Drosophila melanogaster: one gene and its partners. The protein of the gene in region 1 interacts with the protein of each later gene in a biochemical or structural test. Each region holds a gene or a part of one and is shown on either strand. Other genes may lie near its edges.

Region 1 (3,600 bases):
TACTGCTAATAATATCTTCTCCTGCCTTCCAGTTCATCCGCTAACACGGAAGTTCTACGCCCAGTATGAGCAACGCCAGCCGACGGATACCTTGAGGTACCTACGGCACACTTGGCCTGAGAAGCATGTGGAGCGTCAGAGGCAGCTCGGAAAAGCTGTTCCGCTCCTGGAGTCGCAGGTGTACGGCTGGTTGCCGCTCAAAAGTGGAGAGCGAGCCGCCGATCTGAACTTTCTGCATGCCAAGAAGGTGCGCTGCGGCATGACTGTTCACGGGGAGCGCTTGGTGGCGGAGAGGATTACGGCGCGTCCTCCGTTTAACGGACTCAGATTCCTGCTTCACTAATCCTACGGCGAAGAAATGTCGCACGCTGACCGCCATTATAAATTTATAATTTTTTTTTTAACATAGTGTTAATTTTTTTTTTGTAAACAAATTAATTATGATTAAAAAGCAAAACTAAGCCACGCTAGATCATTATTAAGAAACGCATCTTGTCTAATTCAAATTTAGTAAAAAAAAAGGTGGCAGCTCTCCCTCGATGATTTAGTTTCAGGGCTACGACGTCGATTATTTTTTGTTTATTTATATTGTTTTCATTTACTGTTGCTTCAAGCAGGCGAATGAACCTGGAACAGACTCCTCCTGTAATGCGCACAGCAACCGCCTGAGATTCTCGCAGTAGCCACGCAACATGGTGGGTACGGGTGTGAGTGAAGTGGGTGTTCCGGCATCTTCGGAAGAATCCGTAGATTTCGGCTGGAATCGGCATCGCAAGTCAAAGGTCGCGTTTCACGGACTCAGTGGCAGCCGGCATCTAATCACTTGGGTTCTTTGACTCACATAATATTCATAACTGATTTGATTTGATCGACTCTGCAGGCTCACTCGAACAAGGCTCGCAAAGCAGCCAAAGAGGCAAACGCCAAGAAGTCTGCGGGATCGGGAACAGAGAGCAAACCGGAGCACGTAAAGATACATGGCCCAGGCGATCGTAGTGCAGGAGTTCTGACTGGCGACCAGTTCCTGGAGAGCTTGCTCCAGACTCTCTACAGGTCATGTATGTCCACTAGTTGAAGTACTATCTGTAAAAGCGCTTAATTGCTTACTGCCACAATTAGTTACTTATATATGTACTACTCTGTACGGTTGTTAACCTGTTTTATGCATCACACCGCGTAACAAAAGTTGCCTTTGTTATAACGTTGCCATATTGCAGGGCTTCAAATCTGCCGCCTGGCAGATTTTGTGATGTCCGAGCTAGGTGGAAATGATTTCCTGGAGGCCACCGCGGCCTGGTGCACCCGGAATCCGCACGTTGCTATCTGCCTGCTAGCTGGTGGTCTTGTATTCATGCTGCCCTTCCTTATAATATTTGGGTTTGGAATAGCCACCATGGTTATGACCTTTACAGGTTTGCTGGTGCTAGAAGGTGCGTTCCGTAGTGTTTACCAGAGATCACGTTCTTATCGACTCGTTTTAGGCACACTCCTGACCATTGTGTCCATGGTGTTCTTCGCCTGCCTGGGAGGACTAGTCATAATGGTACCTCTCTTCGGTGTCGCCGCTGTTGCTGCCTATTTCGGATTTGCCCAGGTGTATGGCCTATGTGATGGAATAGAGATCCATAAGAGCGCGTGGGTCATGTTCTTTAGGGATCAACGGAAGGCCGGCGATCCGCCGCCAGCTGCTGTGACCATAACCGATGAACCCACTTCTACGACTGCATAAACCAATATTGCTTGCCCAACTTAAATATGTATTAAGAAATTAAAGACCAGTGTTTGAATACTTTTGGAAATTTAAAAAGTGCGCTTTCTATTTTGAAGCAAGTTGGCAGCCACCTGCGATAGAGGAGTTATCGGTTATCTGTTCTGCGCTCATATACACAGTTTTCATAGTCGGGGATTTTTGTCGAATTTAAATATCTAAGTGCGTCAAAAGTGCGTTAACCTGCCTTTGAGCAGATAAATTTACTTTCGAAGCGGTAAGTAATAGTAAAGTCATAGATATTTCTTTAATTCGTCGCCCAAAAACAATAGTTTTTGGTCGTACCTGTGTTGTCATACACCCTCATGTACACTCAGGTGCTTGTGTTGGTAAATGTTTATACAAGATAAACGGTGAGTTCGAGATAACATGATAACATGAACTAGAAATAAATTCGCCTTAGCTAAATTATAAATATTGTGAATTGAGTTTCTTAAGGATGAAATGCTATACAAATTTCGTGAGATTTTTGTGTTCTCAGAACAAAAAAAATTTGAAAAATTCCTTTGGCCTATCGCACAGGGCCCATCGAGTTATCGGGACAGCAGCAGGCCATCGCTAGTTGGGTTTCGTCGCCATATACACAGTTTTTCTCGAGCAGACAATTCGCTGTTATTTTGTTTCTTATAGCGTTTTAAATAAATAAATCCTGCTCTAAAGCAGACTTAAATTCCTTGGACGCGGTGAGTACTGTTAGTCGGTAGTGAATCCGTTTGGAAAGCCAAAGTTTCTGTGTGCCATGAAAGTTGGAAAGCCATGGCAAACAAGTCGGCGCGGGGGTGGGCAGGGGTTCGCTGGATGTGCGCCTGTGTATGTGTGTGTGTATGATCTGGATACACACAAACGGCATTTTTATGTATTCCTCCCCCGTAAATCGGGCGCTTGTTTTGTTGCTCGCTGGAATGTAAACAATGCCACAGACAGGAAATCGTTTTCTTCGAATCTAGAGGCAGGCTTATCGTTAGGTGTTTTATCTAATCGACAACTGAAATGGAGTTGGGATTCTTTCTGAGCTGCCTACGCGAGTATGTGTGTGTAGGCACAATCGTTTGGATGTGTGGCAACTCTGCGCAGCACTGCATTTGTATGCTGCACTGCCGCGGCCCTTTACTTTCTCTCCCAGTCTCTTTCCCTGTCCCTTTCCCGCACTCCGCACGCGCGGTGTTGCAAGTGCCTTGCTTTGCTTGCGCTCTCCGCATCTGGATTCTGTTCCGTTTAAACGAGCGTGCTGGTCGGTCGCATTTTCCGCTGCGCCTTTTTCGAGAGAAGTGAAAAATCCATTTTGTTTTTTGTTGGAGTGCATGAGATTTGAAAGAGTGCTAAACAAAGTAATTAAATAACTCAAGGTTCGTGGCCAAAGTCTTCGGCAGGTAGACACACACATACCCACAAATACCCGTTCTACCTGCGTAAGAATGTATTAGTGCGTTTGTTTGTATACGCAGCATATTTCATATTATGCTTCGGCATCTCAAAGCGGAAATGAGTTAAAAAAAAAGACCAACGACTAGAATAAGTGACTAACGGACGATATCTGCGTCTGTTGGCAGTCTGCAAACACAACAAGCCCTTCTTTCCGGGGCCCCCATTTAGTGGAGTTCCGTGGTCTCCATCCGAAGCACACACGAACTCCATGTTATTGACTGTCCAGCACATTACTCATATACTCTCCGTCTCTTTCTTGCAGGTGTGGTGTAAAGCGCCTCAATCACCAAGATGAGTTACATGCCAGCCCAGAATCGAACCAGTAAGTATTTCCAGCAGCGGTACTCTTCCCTTTCCCATCTTCCAGGGAGTATGCAAAGAGCATCAAAGTTAACTGTGTATCAGAG
Region 2 (3,829 bases), 750 kb from region 1:
ATATTCCAATAAATTAACTTCAAGGACGGACGGCCATCACCTTTTAGCCTTATTATCATTAAACAAAGCGCTACTTTCGCAAAACCATCGTTGCTATTTTGACTTGACCACAAGTCACTAGAATCAGTAACCATATCGGCCAACAAGAAGGCAGCTAAACAAGGACCCACTCGCGATGTGAAAGTCAAGAGCACGGCCATCGAGAGCGGCCCCTCCAAGCCCCCGCCGGACAAACATCTGGAGCGCCAGTTTGTCCAGTCGGTGAATAGTTAGTGTCCGGTCGCTTTGTTCAGCTGAAGTTATTGCTAATTATTATTAAGTTCTCGTAACTAATTTTGAATTTTCTTCTTCATTTTCTTTCCAGGTAAGTTGACTATCATATTACCAAACTTCCTATAAACGGGTAAGCAAAAGTCTGTTCTCCCACATTGAAGTCTATATATATATATATATGGTGATAACTGCTAAAAGCAAACTTATAGATTGTAATTGTTTTTAAGTGTTTAATTAGTTTATAAGTAAAAGCTACGTATATGTAAAGCTAGCCTAATTTCGCAGAATTTGTAGCTAGTGTTGCCCAAATGGGTTAAGTTACATGAGTTTATGTTATTTTGTTTACAAATGAAATTTGTGGAAATATGTACCAATACAGGGTTTAAGATTTCGATTGTGGCGAACATTTATGGCTGTGGCCTTGGGACTTGCATACTTTCGGGCGGCGCTCGTAATGAACCGGCTGCATTTTTCGATGCTTTCGCAATTAGCGGTGGTTAAAAGACCTCGCCACCCACATCCCCACCTCCCACATTCCCCACCCACTGAATTTTCCACTCTTTAACTCTTCTGTTTTTGTTTTGTTTTGTTGACTCATCGGCACGCGCGCTCTCATTTCGGCCTCTTTCTTTATCTCTTTCTCGGTTACCTAATTTTTGCATAAGTCGCGTCGCCGACACATGAGAAATTCCGGCGCAGCGTACTAACAAATACGCACACACTCGCACACTCGCACATGCAGCTAGCACACTCACGCACCGCATGCAAATTAGCTGTCCGCTGACTAGAAATTCTTTCGCGAGCGCTCTCTTTCCCGCCCCTTTGCTCTGTGTGCTCGCTCGCTCCCCACACGCCGCACACGCTCCCCCGCTTCCTCCCTCGCCGTTCGCCGTCCATGTGACGATCAATTTTAGCGCACATTGGGGCAAATGTGTGGAGCAAGCTGCCAGCGATGCTCTCTTTCGGGTGAGAAACAACATAAATACTTCTTTCATTTAATTCCATTTCCATTTGAGAAGCGAAGCAAAGCTTTCGGCCCACCGTGCAACGTTCAATGCTCCGGTACAGCTGCGGTCAGTCAGTTAGAAATCAAAGTTATATCAAATGTTCCTTGGAAGAGACCAAAAATGATGTGTCATGCCTTAGTAGAGACAAACTTACCTAGAAAGGTGCCTGTATTTATAAACTGGTGTTGACATTTATTTAAAGTTGTAGAAATATTGATTAGTTAGGTGGTCCTTCCGTTGCGAGCGCTGCTGTGCTGCGGGACGCCGGCGCAGGCGCTGCTGCGCTGCCGGCGACGCTGTCGGCTGATGTGAATGTGATGTAGATGCCCATGCTTCGACTCGCTCACTCGCGTTGAATCCATCGAGCAGGCGCGTCGTTCTCTCCTCTCGTTCCGGCGCGTTCCATTCAGCCATTCCGCGACTCTATTTGCCTGTTGTTTTTGTAGCTTTATCAGCGACAAAAAAAAAAAAAAACGAAACGAAACAAATATAAATATAAATAACAACGGCGAAACAAAAAGTGAAACAAAATCGTGACGCGCCTGATTACTTTATTTTTTGTGTCAACAGTGTGTGCAGTGTAATGTGTCTCCAAAAGAAAAATAAAAATTAGAAACTAGTCGAATTCAATATGCATTGAAATCTAATTAGTTGCCGCATTGTTGTTTTTGCCGCCTGACACCATTAGAAAATCACGAAAAGAGCTATCAACATGGCCTAAAGTGACCAATGAATTGGAGTTTATTTCACGGCGTTGTGAAATATGCTCCAACTTTAACCCAAAAACCCACACACACTCATTGCCAATGTATTAATGTTTTTTTTTATTTTTATTTATACTTGGGGGAGATGTGTATTTTTTTAGTGGGGCGAATGTTCTAGAAAGCTCTTTAAAGTACCTCGATTTGTGTGGGAATCTAACGCTCGTTGTTTGCCCCTTCCTCGCAATAGTTGTTTGTGAATATGTTGCGATGTATACGTATCCACGATTTCAGTGCATCTTCACTACCAAATCCAAGAAGAAGAAACTTAAAATTCATCAATGGAAAAGTTTTTGCAATCCCCCTGTCTCGCTCACTTGCTCTGGCCCCCTCAATCGCCGCTCTCTTTCCGCCGCAAGGCGCACAACAAGTGGCAAACCGAAGCGGCGGCGTCGTCTTCAAACCAGTTTTACTGTAGCGTTGTTGTTGCTGCTTCAGCTTACACTGAAAAAATAACGCAGTCAATAACGCAAATTAGTCCATAGCTTGTTGGTACCATTTCGTTTGTATATTTTATAAGCACATTTTGTAAACAGGAATTAATGGAGAATACGCAACACAAATCTAAGGCACGATTTCTAAAAAAGTTTAAATGATGTGGTGATTAATGTTTGTTTATTTATCACGACACTTAAATTGTTCTCTGTGTAATTCTGCGGCTGCTGCGTCTCCGCGATAATTGGTGCGGAGGTTGCCCCTTCAGCCCTCCCCCCAAACTCCTCCATCTACCATTCCATCTACCGTTCCGCCGATCAGTATTTGCTTTTATGGGCAAAAGTTCTTCAATGAGTGGTCACAGCATTTGTGAAGGGAGGGGGGCGGAGGGGGCTGCGGTACGTGCATGCAATTCCTTATTGGCGACAATGTTGAAATGTGTGCGCCTGTTTGAAGGAAAACACCAGAGATCAAACCAATAGCTTTAAAACTTTGATTGCCTTTTGATTAAAGCCATGTGGAACTTAGTGCCATCACCGTTATTGGGCAGATTCTAATTGGTTTTCCAAGTAAGATGCTGAAAATGCAATTTTTTCTCGTAACGTTAATCGGTGAACAGGGAATCCCCCTCATTGATCTCCCAGCGCAGTGGAGCCAAAGTCCTAAGTTTTTTCAGCATGGATGACAGTGCCTATTAGTGTGACCGCTGGTGTTTGTGGTGGCTTGGGCCAAAAGTGAATTATTCATGTTGTTGCTGCTGTCGCTCTGCCAGTGGAAAATTCCCAAAAAAAATTCGCATGAACTGCGCCGGCTGCTCCTCCGCTCCTCCGCTGCCCCACATGCTTCTCCTTCCACTCGTTCTTCTTCTTCTTTGAGTGCCCCCCAAAGGCAAAAAGTCGGAGTCGAAGTTACTTGGTGTGTTAGTTGTTGTTGCTCTTGCCCACTCATTCGCTTCGGTTTTTTTTTATTTTCTTTTCTTGTCTTTAACATTTTTTCTTTTTATAAAAATAGCACAGACGAAGAAATATTTGCACACACACACACACACCACGCACACACGTGTATTGTAGCATTTGCTAATTTTCTTCGTTTGTTTCGCTTGGCGTTTTTTGTTTGTTGATTCGCCTATTGCCTCCGTCTTCCCTCTCGCTCTCCGCCACTTTTATATTTTCAAAGACAGCAATTTGTATCTTTAGTGCGGGGATCACTTTTCTCTCTTAAACCCGACTTTCTCACGCTCTCTTCCGGCGCTCTTTCGTCTCCTTATCCACCACCCACCCACGCCCTAAATGTGTCAATGGTTCAAGGCGGACGAATGAATAATCAAAGAAGAATTAACTCGGAGCTTTTCAC
Region 3 (3,829 bases), about 15 Mb from region 1:
ATATATTATTTGTTCAATTAATGTTTTTTGTCCACATTACTCGCTGTAAGCAGCAGCAGCAACCGCCAGTGGGAGTCTCGAAATTGACCAACCAAATATGATAATGATACTAATCCATTGTTAATCCGCAGCTTCAATCCGCCAGCTGCGGGCAACTCGGCGCAGAGTTCCCAGACGGCTCGCCGCAAAATCCGCGCCCCCGTACGCCGTTTGCCGCCCCGGTAGAAATGGCATCGCAGTCGGCCATCACGATAGCAAATGAGGCCGCCGTCGGATTAGGATTAAGATATTGGCAGCCATTGCCGAGAGTAACAGAATCAGCAGTAGCAGCAAAAGCATCAAGGGCCGAAAAGGAAAAGCAAGACACAGAAGACGCCGGCAACAATAGTGGGCTCAAAGGTTCGGTCCAGAGCCAATATCACCAGGAGCCAGATATTCAAGGATCATCGAGGATAAACATGCAGTCACCAAAGTCGCCATGTGTGAACAAATACCGCTTCGTACGCCGCCACAGCCTGAACTCTGAAACCAGGAAACCCTTTAGCAGGAATATTTGGCAGAATACAACAGGAGAAGGCAATGAAACCAATGGCGACGATGTCCCTAAAACACCAACAACTGGCGACCAGGAGGACAACCAACAGGAGGAACGAGATTCAGCGGTATATACATCAACAGAACGAACTGTACTAGTAAGGACCCAATTCAAGATAGTGCGGCAAAGGAGCGTCATCTCGAAACCGAGACAGAAGCCTCCGACTTACTCTTAAAAAGCTAAGGAATAGGTTCGTTCCACATCCTTCTCTGCTCTCCGATGATTGGGAGATGACCACGCGAATGTCGCTCATACTACGCATATTGATGATTACAAATTATAAAAACACTTCGTTGGATTTACGCGAGAATTCATCGCACCAAAAAAAAAACGAAAATGAATATATTTTAACGTTATTTTTGTTGAATATATAATATACCTTAACGATAATTATGTAATAATTATTTTGCGAAATAGTAAAGAAACGTGTAATGCTGCAATCAAACAGAGATGCGAGGCCATGTAATAGCGCAAAAAATCAACTACTGTATAATGTAGTAATACGTATATTCGAGTTATTGGCCGATACGTCGAGCATATGATGATTGCAGTCAGATAAGAGCGATCGGCAAACGATTGCATTAAGTCTTTAGTTTTTGTTATTAATTTTAGCGTTTAGATTCACACACACACAATTCACACGAGGAAAATACCTGCAACGACGTTCTGTGCAGCAGCCAAGGTGGAAAGCCAACAAATTAAAGAAAAACAACTATCTAGCAACGTAAAGAAACCAACCAACCCTATAGCTAACAAGATAACAGATTAGATGAAAAGATTAGAGAGAATGGTGGCAAACTGGAAAACCGAAAGAGTTATAATTGTATGCATGTTTTTTATATACATAAATTCATAAAGAACATTTAATATTTTATTTTAAGTTTATATTGATCATTTTTAAGTCGAGAACAGAAATGGAAATCAGAAGTCTATGTTGAGAGAGAAACGGTATCATAATGTAAATAAGTAAATATATGCGGTATGATAATTTAAACATTGTGCTCTTTACTTGGGTTTTCAACTGGAATTGCAATGAAATTCTATAACGAATATTTGGTGTCTTAAAGTACATATCTTACTTTGAATGGTAATTGTTTTCAGCGCGAATACTTTACAAACATTTGAATTTCGAAAAGCCAGTTGACCACAGGCGAACTCACCATGCCACGGCAACGGTCACACTGCCGCCATTGCGATAGACATCGATAGCCGTTCCAGCACTAATACTCACGATAAACACCACCTCTATTTCTGGCATCGGCAATTATTTCCCTAGGTTTATTATTTTTTTGTTAAGCGAATTGCTTGTGCGCTCGTGCTGTCGCCATAATGTGTGCAATGTGTGCCAGCCAGAGGAGCAAGTGGTGAAGGTGTATCGCTTGTGCGCATCTCGATTTGTCCATCCATATCCAATTGAATCCCAGTTTCCCAGTCGCGTCCGCTGCTATGCGTGTGTGTGTGCGTGCGTGCCCGTGTCCCTGCATGTGTGTGTGTGAGTGAGATCGGGAAGAAGTTGTGTGCTGTTGTTGTTGTTGTTTCTGTCGGATTTGCCGTTGCCATCGTTTGTTGTTTGTGCATTTTCCATTGTCGGGCGACGCAACAAAAAGAAAAAAATTACACATTAAAAATAGAGAGCAAGAGCGAGAGGGAAGGAGTGGTGTGGAGTGGAAAAGGGCGGTAAAAGGGCAGAAATTTGGAGCACGGGAAATCCGAGTCGCTGAAGATGTTCTCGAAGAAGAAAAAGAAACCGCTGATCTCGATGCCCAGCAATTTTGAGCATCGTGTGCACACGGGCTTCGACAAGCGGGAGAACAAATATGTTGGCCTGCCCCTCCAATGGGCGTCCATTGTGGGCAACAATCAGATACTCAAGTCCTCCAACCGCCCGCTGCCACTGGTCGATCCCTCGGAGATTACGCCCACCGAGATTCTCGATCTGAAGACTATTGTGCGTCCGCATCACAACAACAACAAGGCGGACACCACCTCGCTCAACAGCAGCAGCACAATGATGATGGGCTCAATGGCGCCGATGAATCCCATGGCACCTGGCGCACACCCAATGATGAGCCATGGCCCCGGAATGATGATGCCACCCGAGACGGGCGGCATAGTCCTGCCGAAGACCTCTCACGTGGCCAGATCCAATTCGCTGCGGAGTTCCAGTCCGCCGCGAGTGCGACGGGTAGCCAATGTGCCGCCATCGGTGCCGGAGGAGGAGGGACCACCGGCAGCTGGAACACCGGGAGTAGGTGGAGCTAGTAGCGGTGGCTTTAAGCCACCCGGTGCCCATCCCTCCCTGCTCTATAACAGTCAGCATGCGCACGCGAATGGAGCAACAGGACCACTGGCCGTGCGCACGGATCAAACCAACCTGCAGCAGTATCGCAGCAATCTGGCCCCGCCATCCGGCGGCTCCATGCCCCAGCAACAGCAGACTTCGCCCGTGGGTTCGGTGGCCAGTGGCACGCGATCCAATCACTCGCACACGAACAATGGCAACAGCGGCGGCAGCTATCCTCCCATGTATCCCACAAGCCATCAGCAGCAGCAGCAGCAGCAACAGCAGGCCAAACAGGGTGGCGATCAGAACCAAAATCCTCTGCATCCGCATGCTCATCCGCATCCGCACCATCACCAACATTTGGCCAAGTCGGCGTCCAGGGCATCCAGTTCCAGCGGGGGAGCGAGCAGTGCTGCCCAGCAGGCGAGCGGCGCCAGTGGAGGAGCGGCGGGTCAGCCAAAGCAGGACCAACGACTCACCCACGAACAGTTCCGTGCCGCCCTTCAGATGGTGGTCTCCGCCGGTGATCCACGCGAGAACCTCGACCACTTTAACAAAATAGGCGAGGGCTCCACGGGCACCGTATGCATTGCCACGGACAAATCCACAGGCAAGAACATCCGCTTTAACTATTGTCAAAACCATTGAATTAATGGCATTTGGTTTTCTCATTACGTACAGGTCGCCAGGTGGCCGTGAAGAAGATGGATCTGCGCAAACAGCAGCGACGGGAGCTGCTATTCAACGAGGTCGTCATCATGCGGGACTACCATCATCCCAATATCGTGGAGACATACTCCAGCTTTCTGGTCAACGATGAGCTTTGGGTGGTGATGGAGTACCTCGAGGGCGGCGCCCTCACCGATATTGTCACCCATTCGCGCATGGACGAGGAGCAGATAGCCACCGTCTGCAAGCAATGCTTGAAGGCTTTGGCCTATTTGCACTCA

Evidence for each region.
Region 2: of the proteins of arm (region 1) and sgg, one has a biochemical effect on the other in vitro, tested with the Drosophila melanogaster proteins (2 studies listed by BioGRID).
Region 3: of the proteins of arm (region 1) and mbt, one has a biochemical effect on the other in vitro, tested with the Drosophila melanogaster proteins (one study listed by BioGRID).

Annotation. Positions count from the first base shown.
Region 1 is NC_004354.4:1,898,895-1,902,494, reverse strand, and holds the start of arm (armadillo), read left to right. Parts: upstream 1-1,848; 5' UTR 1,849-1,985; intron 1,986-2,321; exon of another isoform or gene 2,322-2,451; intron 2,452-2,884; exon of another isoform or gene 2,885-3,191; intron 3,192-3,455; 5' UTR 3,456-3,484; coding exon 3,485-3,515; intron 3,516-3,600. Other genes in the region: CG32801 (uncharacterized protein), read left to right, coding at 33-343; Ldaf1 (lipid droplet assembly factor 1), read left to right, coding at 693-782, 881-1,058, 1,218-1,430, 1,482-1,729. UniProt on the Drosophila melanogaster protein: Isoform neural may associate with CadN and participate in the transmission of developmental information. Can associate with alpha-catenin.
Region 2 is NC_004354.4:2,645,012-2,648,840, forward strand, and holds the start of sgg (shaggy), read left to right. Parts: upstream 1-1,625; 5' UTR 1,626-1,860; intron 1,861-3,829.
Region 3 is NC_004354.4:16,608,874-16,612,702, forward strand, and holds the start of mbt (mushroom bodies tiny), read left to right. Parts: upstream 1-1,811; 5' UTR 1,812-2,318; coding exon 2,319-3,489; intron 3,490-3,560; coding exon 3,561-3,829. Other genes in the region: Nup153 (nucleoporin 153kD), read left to right, coding at 132-225. UniProt on the Drosophila melanogaster protein: Involved in neurogenesis of the adult central nervous system, and together with Cdc42, regulates photoreceptor cell morphogenesis. Phosphorylates exogenous substrates when activated by Cdc42.